2 linked regions of the Ovis aries genome follow. The protein of the gene in region 2 interacts with the protein of the main gene of each other region in a pairwise test. Links are inferred from orthologs where the notes say so. Each region holds a gene or a part of one and is shown on either strand. Other genes may lie near its edges. The genes, in order: LAX1 and GRB7.

Region 1 (4,599 bases), on a different chromosome or scaffold from region 2:
GACTTGCATACAGATTTCTCAGGAGGCAGGTAAGGTGATCTGGTATTCCTATCTAAGAATTTTCCACAGTTCATTGTGATCCACACAGTCAAAGGCTTTGGCATAGTCAATAAAGCAGAAGTAGATATTTTTCTAGAACTGTCTTGCTTTTTCTATGATCCAGCAGATGTTGGCAATTTGATCTCTGGTTCCTCTGCCTTTTCTAAATCCAGCTTGAACATCTGGGGGTTCACGGTTCACGTATTGTTGAAGTCTGGCTTGGAGAATTTTGACTATTACTTCGTTAGCGTGTGAGATGAGTGCAATGGTGCGGTAGTTTGAGCATTCTTTGGCATTGCCTTCCTTTGGGCTTGGAATGAAAACTGATCTTTTCCAGTCCTGTGGCCACTACTGGGTTTTCCAAATTTGCTGGCATATTGAGTATAGAACTTTCATAGCATTATCTTTTAGGATTTGAAATAGTTCAACTGGAATGCCATCACCTCCACTATTTTGTTCATAGTGATGATTTCACACTCCAGGATGTCTGGCTCTAGGTGAGTGATCACACCATCATGATTATCTGGGTCATGAAGATCTTTTTTGTACAGTTCTTCTGTGTATGCTTGCCACCTCTTCTTAATGTCTTCTGCTTCTGTTAGGTCCCTACCATTTCTGTCCTTTATTGAGCCCGTCTTTGCATGAAATGTTCCCTTGGTATGTCTAATTTTCTTGAAGAGATCTCTGGTCTTTCGCATTCTGTTGTTTTCCTCTATATCTTTGCACTGATCAAGTGGTTAAAGGCAACACCAGAGCAGTTAGGTTTAAAACACATATGCGGTCACCAGGAGTGAATGGTTTTCTTCTACTATCAGGACGAATTGCTTCAGACACCTGGTTTCTGTTTTGAGTGGTTGGTTTAATTGGTTTACTGTGGCGAGGGCAGGGGTGCAGCCAGAGCCGGAAGACCCAGAGCTCAGTCTGAGGCCTGGGAGCCTCCTGTGAGGAGGCTGTTTCCCTCAAGCATGGGGGCAGGAGAAAATAAGAGGGGATGGAAGACTTGGCTGACTCAAACACGCTGTGTAGATGATAAGATCACACAAGGGAAAACCTTGAGATGGTCGCAGGCAGGGGGACGTTCTTCAAAATTTTGTTAAAGCAGCTGTCGAGGTTCTGAGGTTTGGCTCTGTCTGCTTCCCCATCTGCCGTCTTCCAGACTGCCCGTGCGCATGCCGTCTGCTCTTGGCACCAGGTTTGGGAAACCCTGCACCCACGGAGCCAGCCACAGGCACCCAAAATCTGTATTTGTTTCTAAAAAGCACCTTCCAGTGCTCCTCAGACGCTGAAACAAACACTGTCAATCCGGAGGCCGATAAAACTCAGTATCACAGAAACCCAGGGGGAGCAATCACACACACCCTATCACCTTGACCCCTCTTGAATCACGCTCCCCGCAGACCACAGCGCATCAGCCAGCCCAGGCAACAGGGTGCAGGCGCCCTTGCTTCTATCATATTGAGAGCTGAGCAGCACTTCCTGGGCCCCAGGCTTCATCAGCACGTCGGTGGTACTGCTTCCTGTGGCTGACTATCTGTTTCCATTCTGGCAAAGTGTTTGCTCTCTTCTCTCTGCTTTGGGGGTTTGGGGGAGGATGAACTTCTCAAGGAGCCCGTCTCTGCCCTCTTGGCCGTCTCCCCCTCGGAGCCCCGCACGTCCCCGCCACAAGGCAGAGCGTCTGGCGTCCCCCTGAGCCGAGCTGGGGAGCTCCACACCCAGAAGCGCTCTCCCCTCTTGCAGTCAGCATCGCAGCCACAACCAGGTAGAGCCAAACTTGCTGTTTTGTATTTTGGGTCAAGTCAGCCTGACATTTCAGGGATAGACGCAAGGTAGAGTTGGTTGTGGGAGAGAAAGTTCTAGAAAGAAAGACTGGAAGCTTTAGAAAGGGAGAAGTAAAAACCAATAGACTTTTTGTGATGGATTTTGATAAAGATTTAAGAAGATGAAAATTTGAGAGTCGAGTTGTATGTCAAGGAAGGTTCAGAAAATGGAGACCAGGAGGATTTCTGTCATTCTTCTTTACTAAAAAAAAATGCTTATACTAGATGGGATTATATGTAAAAGACAAACCAATTCTGCCTTTTCTCTTGAGAGTCAGCAGTTTAGGAAGAGACAGGAAAAGTGGCAAGCTGACTGGCAAGCTGATGACGACTAAGAGAAGGCCTAGGAGGAGAAGCTGAAGCCAGAGAGGGTCGCAGAATAATGGATGCCACCACGTCAGCACAGTCGGAGCCCGCAGGGAGAACCTCAGAGCCCAGCACTCTGCGGGGAACCCTCGGCAGCCTGAACAAGTGAGTGCCAGGGGCGGTGAGCGCTCCCCTCCCCTGATTTAGAAAGAGGGTCCTGGTCTATCCTGGGGAGCTTCTACCCCAGCAGCCTTGCCACCCCTCACCAGGCTCTCGTTTCCTAAGACCGCTAAACTCTTGGCTCAGAGAGGTTTGCTCAGAACTGCTGGGAGGAAAGGAATAGGTATTGCGAACAGAAAGGAGTTGTTGGGAAGAGAGGAAATATGATAACACACCACTTCCTTAGAGCTGGCTTCCTGGCATGGCTGGGTTTCTCATGCTCAGAGGCCCGCATGGCGGTCCTTGAGCTTTCCTTTTTCAAGTCCCACGGATCACTCCTCAAAGAAACAGAAGCAAAAACCAGTTTCTACTCTGATGGAAACAAACGGCCCACTTTTTACACAGATGTGCTTTTACGTCCTAAACACTTGCCATGAATGAAAATGGAATCACAGATATGATAAAGACACAGCCTTGGATCATAAAACCCCACAGCATTAATCATAGATGTAAATCTTACAGTTAAAACCTTCAATATTATATTAACAAAAAGTCCATCAATACTTGAAACTTTGACACTGAGAGGTATTGATTTCAGTGCAGTGATAAAAGCACAGCTCAACAGCAATAAATTAAAAATCACTGTAGTTTGGGGAGGTAAATGTCATTACCATGATAAACAAATACCTGTCCCCTGCAGGTGGACAAGGTCGTTGATGGGGAAGGAATTCATAAAGTGTCAGAATCCTGCAGCACTCCTCCAATACTATTTCTACATCCATTCATTTGATAATTTATTCATTCATTCATTTAACAAATATCCATCAGGTTCCTACTGAGTGCCAAGCACGGTGGCAGGCACAAGGTGAATAGGACAGACAAGGACAGCCTCCTGGAGGTTACAGTTAAGTGGGAGGGTCAGATACAAACAGATGAACAAAAGCATGGCTAGCATAACATCAGTCAGTCGTAAGCTATGAAGAAAAACCAGGGCAGAGTAAGGGGACTGGAGGACCCAGGAGGGTGTGACTAGGGAGGACCTATCTGAGGAGGTGACATTTCAGAAGAGTCCTAAATTAAATGAGGGGATTGAACTGCGGGAGAGGGAGCAGCGAGACTGAGACAAGACTGTGCTTTGCTGGAAGCAGCATGGAGTCCTGGTCATCAAGGTCAGAGGAAAATAGTAGGAAAGGAGGTCAGAGGCAGGCAAAGGCAGAAGAGAAGAGGCCGTCACATTCTCACCTGTTAGGGACAATGGATGCTATCCCACGTGTGATGAGAAGTCATGGGGGGTTGCAGAGGGGGCACGTGATCTGATTTAACCGTTCAGAGGATCACTCTAGCTCCTGTGTGAACATAGTATGTTGGGGCCAAGAGTGAAAGCAAGGAGCTCATTAGAGAGGTTCTGGCAAAGGTCTGTGTGGAACTAGTGGTGGCTCAGACCGAGGTGGTGGCAATGGAGGAGCAAGAGGTGATGCTTTGGGGTACATGTCCCGGTTGAGCAGATAGAAACTGCTGGTTAACTAGCAGTGGGGTGTGAAAAAGAAAACATTCAAGAATGGCTCCAAGGGTTTTGACCAAGCCATCAGATGACAGGAAACACCAGAGGAACAGGCTTATGGGGGGTGGGGGAGAACAGGAGTTCTGTTTTAAACATTTTTGGTTTGAGATGTCTATTAGGTTACTACATGGAAATGTCCGGTATGAAACTGGGTGAACAAGTCTAGAACTCATAAGGACAAAAACCTTCCCTGATGGATGACCTGGTTTCTAGCATTTGGAGGGGCAAGTCTGCTAGTGATGCACTCTGTAACCTCAACTGGCTGCTTCCTATAGCCAAAACAGAGCTAGCCTGGCCCTGCCCAGGAATTGCGAACAGCCCGGTCCTTACCCAGCGCATCTGCATGGTCAAATTCCACAGCAGAGCAGAGTGTTGCTTGAAGACCAGCCCCACAAGCTGATGCTACAGGGATTATTAAATGCAAGCAACCTGGACTCTTGTCCCAGAGCTGCTGCTTAATTGTAAGTGGATAATCTCTTCCAAGCAAGACAGAAAGCTGAGGGGCAGGGAACAGGGTAAGCAGGAGCAAATGGATTTGACAAGTTTGGAAGACAGTGTGAAGCCATAGAAAGAACAGTCTTTGGGCCCAAACAGACCTAGATTTCACATTCCATCATGCTCCTTCCTACCTATGTGATCTTCCCTATGTTACTCTACCTTAGTGAGTCTAACTCTCAGGTTCCTTGGTCACAAAGAGAGATGGGATCGTTATACAGA
Region 2 (4,508 bases):
TTAAGTGAGGACAAGAGGAGATTTGGGGGACAGGTGAGTCAGGGTGGGGCGGGACACACTGCCTGGAGCTCTCCATTCACCCTTGACTCATCTCCACTACTTCCTGGCTTAGGAGAAACACAAACAACCCTGCCTCTACCCATCCCCTCCACTCCCCCCCCCACCACAAGAACAGGATTGGGGAGGAGGAAGATGTGGGGGGGGGGGGGGAGGCTGAGGCTCCTCTGACATCATCTCCTCCTCCCCACCTTTGGCCTACCTCCAGTCCAGGTCCAGGTGCAACCTGCAAAGGGCCCCAGGTAGCCACCACCCAGCCCAGGAGCCCCCTCACCCAGGCGGGAGAGAAGAAAAGCCTGGCCGGGATTCAGAAGCCCATCTGGAGTGGAGCTGACCTCACAGGGGTGCCCCTGGGGTACCTAAAGTAACCCAAAGAAACATGCAGTGCTCCTTCTCCTGTCCAGAGCCCCCCAGACTTGCATTCTGCTGCTGCTGCCCACCCTTAGCATCCAGGACTCGGCTGGCCCGGGAGGGTCTCATCCTTATCATCCCTGGGAAATGAGGGTCCTTTTAATTCATATACTCTCCTGGGCGTTCTGATCAAAGGCATACTCAGCAGCAGGAGTGGAAAGTCAAGACACACAGGAAGACAGACACAGACAGGCAGACAGGGGAAGGCCAGGAGGGAGAGCCAGCGACGAGGCTGGGGGCCCTGCCAGGAAGGGAAAGATCCACCTACCATGGAACACCAAGAGACACCAGCACGTCAACACCAAAACACAAGGCCCCCACTCCCACCCCCGTCTAACCTCTGGCAAACAGCCCTGCTCACTTCATCCCAGGGGGGACTAGGGGAAGGGCTGCAGGAACCACCCGCTCCAGGAAGCCAGAGACCAACAGTGGCGTGGTCTGAGACCAGGAGGCCTGGATCCTCTCCCATCCCAGAGGGAAGGGGAATCTGGGCAGCGTTTGGAAAGGGAGAGGGTAGATTTGAATCAGACTTGAGTCTGGCCTCTGTGGGGGGCGGGAAGGCTGACTCTGGATGGGTTTAGCCTTCAGATCCCATCACCCAGCTCTCCAGACCCCTCTAAGGAAGGACAGGACTCGGGAGTCAGGACCAAAGAGAGGAGAGGCGAGAGAAACCGATCCTAGCTGTCTCCCCTGGGCAGCCCCCTCAACCACCCCCAAGAGACCTGAAACTTTCCAACTGGGGCCCTGGGAAGGTTATATTGAAGAAATCGACCCCCACATCAATCTGTCCCCTTAGTACTGTGACTCCCTTCTGCGACTTCCCCGCCCCCGTGGCTCGGGCCCCACCCTCCTTCCAGCCCTCCCGCCTCCAGCCTCCTTGTTTACTTCCTGAATCTTGCCCCACCTGGCTGGCCCCGAGGGTGGGTGGCAGGGCTCAGGGTAGAAGGCCGGGCCGGTAGAAAACAAGGCCACCTTCGGTACCGGGTGGGGTGGTGGGGTGGGGTGGGGAGGGGCTGGAGCTGGGGCCTGGAGGTGGCGGGAAGGCCCCCGCCAGGCCCAGGAACCCCACGCCCCGCCCGCATCGGGATTTAGTTAGGAGGAAGGCTTTACCTGTGGGGGAGCCCTTAGGGTGAGGGCTCAGGTGAGGAGGCGGGAAACCCCTAGCTGACCTGGAGCTGGGGGAGGGCCCCCGGACCCTGCGGCCCCGCCCCCTCCCTCACTAGGGGAAAAACATCCAATGGGAATGAGGGGGGCAGCTCTTTTAAAGTTTAATTCGGGAAGAATGCTAGAGTGTCTGTGGAGTTAATCATTACAGGCTGCTTGCCTTCACGGGGGGCCCCCCCAGCACGATAGCGGGGGGTGGAGAGGGGAGAGCAGAGTCCAGGACAGGCAGACCAAGAGGGGGCATTCTCGAGGCGCAGTGGGGTTGGAAGGCCTGGCAAGGGCAGGCAGGAGTATTCTCCATCCCCAGCGTGCCAGGGAGACCCCGACTGGGATGAGTCTTCCCCAAGACTGTTCAGACGGACAAGGCAATCTGCCCCCCTCCCCCATGCGCACAGCGCACCCACTCTCCCCAGGCCCTACTGCGCTGCAGACCCCCAGCATCTATCCCTTCAGCCTACCTAGACCACTTCTTTCTTAAGCCAGAGGGACCACCCCCCTCCCCGGGGCCTGTCCCACCCCCTACCTTCCCACCGGAGGGCTGTGCTGAGTCGCTCAGTTCAGTTCAGTTGCTTAGTCGTGACTGACTCTTTGCGACCCCAAGGACTGTAGCTCGCCAAGCTCCTCTGTCCATGGGGATCCTCCAGGCAAGAATACTGGAGTGGATTGCCATGCCCTCCTCCAGGGGATCTTCCCAACCCAGGAATGGAATTGAACTGGGGTCTCCTGCATTGCAGACAGATTCTTTACCAGCTGATCTACCAGGGAAGCCTGTATTGCTGAGTACGGATGCAATTCAGAGAATCTGTCTCCTTTACTGCCCTCCAAATTGGAGGGTGCCCCACTGCCCCCACAGAGACATCTGTCTTTAATAAAGACTTGGGGGAACTCAAACTGGGGTCAAAGCAGACGGAGCCTGGAGACACTTGGGGCTGCCCCCTCGGCTTGGGACACCCCTCCCAGCTCTCTCTCTGGGGACGTGGGGAGGGGCTAGTTTCAGCGGGAAATCCGCCCCTCTCGGGGAGGAAAGAATCTGGATTCCTGCTTCCCTGACCCCATCAGCAGGTTGGAGTGTGTGTTTGGGGCTGTTGGGGGGCGGGGTGGAGAGGGACGAAGGAATGGAGAGAACAGGGAGTGAGAACAGGGAAAGACCGAGGGCAGATAGTGAGGAGGGGGCAGGATGGGAGGCTGGAGGAAAAGAGAAAGTGAGGCCTCCAGGAAAACACAGCAGGAGGCGGCATCTTTCTCCATATTCTCCAAAGATCTCCACATCTTTCTCCGGGATCTACTGGTGCTCCCCGCCCCCAAGACGAAGTGCCGCGCTCTGGTCCTTACCTGGACCCTGGGTGTTGGCACACCTGGCTGGGGCCACCGATTTAGGAAGGGAGATGCCAAGCTCTTAACTACCTGTCCCCCCCACCCCCTTCCCCGCCCTTGGCCTGACATCACTGAAGAGGGGAAGGGAGGGGGAGCCGGGCGGCCTCCTGTCCTGCCCACCTGGGCAGCCATCCAGTCAGCTCCTGGCCCTGAGACTGGCACAGCCTGGGGCCCTGGTGCAGCTGGGAGTGGGAGCAGATTGTCGTCTGCAACCAGTCTCGGTGCCCTTACCTGGAGGAGCCCCAGCTGGAGTAGCAGGACACAGGGTCCGAAGTCCGGCGCTGTCTAGGAACCTCAGGTACCTGGGCTTGATCTCAAACCCCCTCCCTCTTCTCTACAGGTGTAGGAGAGTGTCCCGACTTTGAACGTAGGAGTCGGGGGAGGTTGAGCTCTGTTGTCCAGGCTTCTGACCCAAGGAAACAAATTATCTTGGGCAGGTGGGGGCGGGGCCTGAGGGAGGGGCATGGGAGGAGGAAGCACTGGAGGAGGGGCGGGGACTCCCTGACACTCTACCCTGGCTGGGATTGTTTTTGTCTTTCTGTAGCAGGTGCCAGGGGAGAAACAGTCAAACTGTACAGCCCCGAAAGCAAAGATCTAGAGTCCTCATGACCTGGGAGGGAGGAGCAGGGACCTGGAAGATCAGAGAAAAGGGACTCGCCTACTCTTCCCCACGCCCCTTCCCAAATCTGGTCTGTTCATTGCCCAATTTAGGGGGCCTGTCTGCTGCTTAGGGTCTTACCCCTTGGGGCAAAGGGCACTCTATGAAAGAGGGAAGCCAGCCAGAAGGATGTCCAGCAACACGGCCTGCCCCTTGACCTCCAGCCACAGTCTGACCACCCAGGCTGCACCCTGGCCCCTCAGGGGCACCCAGCATATACCCTCCCTTCTAAGCAAAGTCCACAGTCTCAGGTTTTCCTTCTGAAATTGAAGGGGTTAGGCAAGGTCTCCCAGTGGCAGAAGTCGTTTGGGGAAAGCTCTGGCCAGGTGCCAGGGGACTCCCCTTAGCGCTGGCCTTCAGCAGTAGGCAAACACAAGGTTGGAGAGAGGGCCTAGGAGACTGAGATCAAAGGCACCAGCCGCATCCCACAAGTGGGTGACAGTTCAGTAAACAAACAGTTCATAGGGGTGATAAGAGATCTGCCCTGGGGGACCTGGAGGAGTGACTGGATGCTCAACTTTCCCCAAACTCAGTTTTCCTTGAAAAAACCAGACTGGACTAAGTGAAGAAGTGGGGAAAGAGGCAAGGTCACCTGGGTCACTGGATATCATGTGAAAAACACGGTAGACAATTCACTCAATCAATTCTTCATTCACTCAGCTAATATTTGTTAAGTACCTACTATATGCCAACCGCATGCTTGGCACTGGGGATATAGTGAGCAACAAAACAGATCCCACCGTTATCTTCATGCAGCCCAATCGGGGAGACTGATGTTAATCAAAGAACCAGGGCTTCCCTGGTGGTCCAGTTATTAAGAATCCACCTTACAATGCAGGGGACA

The links.
Region 1: the proteins of GRB7 (region 2) and LAX1 interact in binary tests that used the Homo sapiens proteins (3 or more experiments, as listed by UniProt). The two-hybrid records come from large-scale screens. The link is inferred for Ovis aries from reciprocal best matches to the Homo sapiens genes GRB7 and LAX1.

The regions. Positions count from the first base shown.
Region 1 is NC_056065.1:1,326,264-1,330,862, forward strand, and holds the start of LAX1 (lymphocyte transmembrane adapter 1), read left to right. Parts: upstream 1-1,558; 5' UTR 1,559-1,798; intron 1,799-2,128; exon of another isoform or gene 2,129-2,134; 5' UTR 2,135-2,238; coding exon 2,239-2,327; intron 2,328-4,599. UniProt on the Homo sapiens protein: Negatively regulates TCR (T-cell antigen receptor)-mediated signaling in T-cells and BCR (B-cell antigen receptor)-mediated signaling in B-cells.
Region 2 is NC_056064.1:39,846,603-39,851,110, reverse strand, and holds the start of GRB7 (growth factor receptor-bound protein 7), read right to left. Parts: upstream 3,008-4,508; 5' UTR 2,156-3,007; intron 1,631-2,155; exon of another isoform or gene 1-1,630. UniProt on the Homo sapiens protein: Adapter protein that interacts with the cytoplasmic domain of numerous receptor kinases and modulates down-stream signaling. Promotes activation of down-stream protein kinases, including STAT3, AKT1, MAPK1 and/or MAPK3. Promotes activation of HRAS.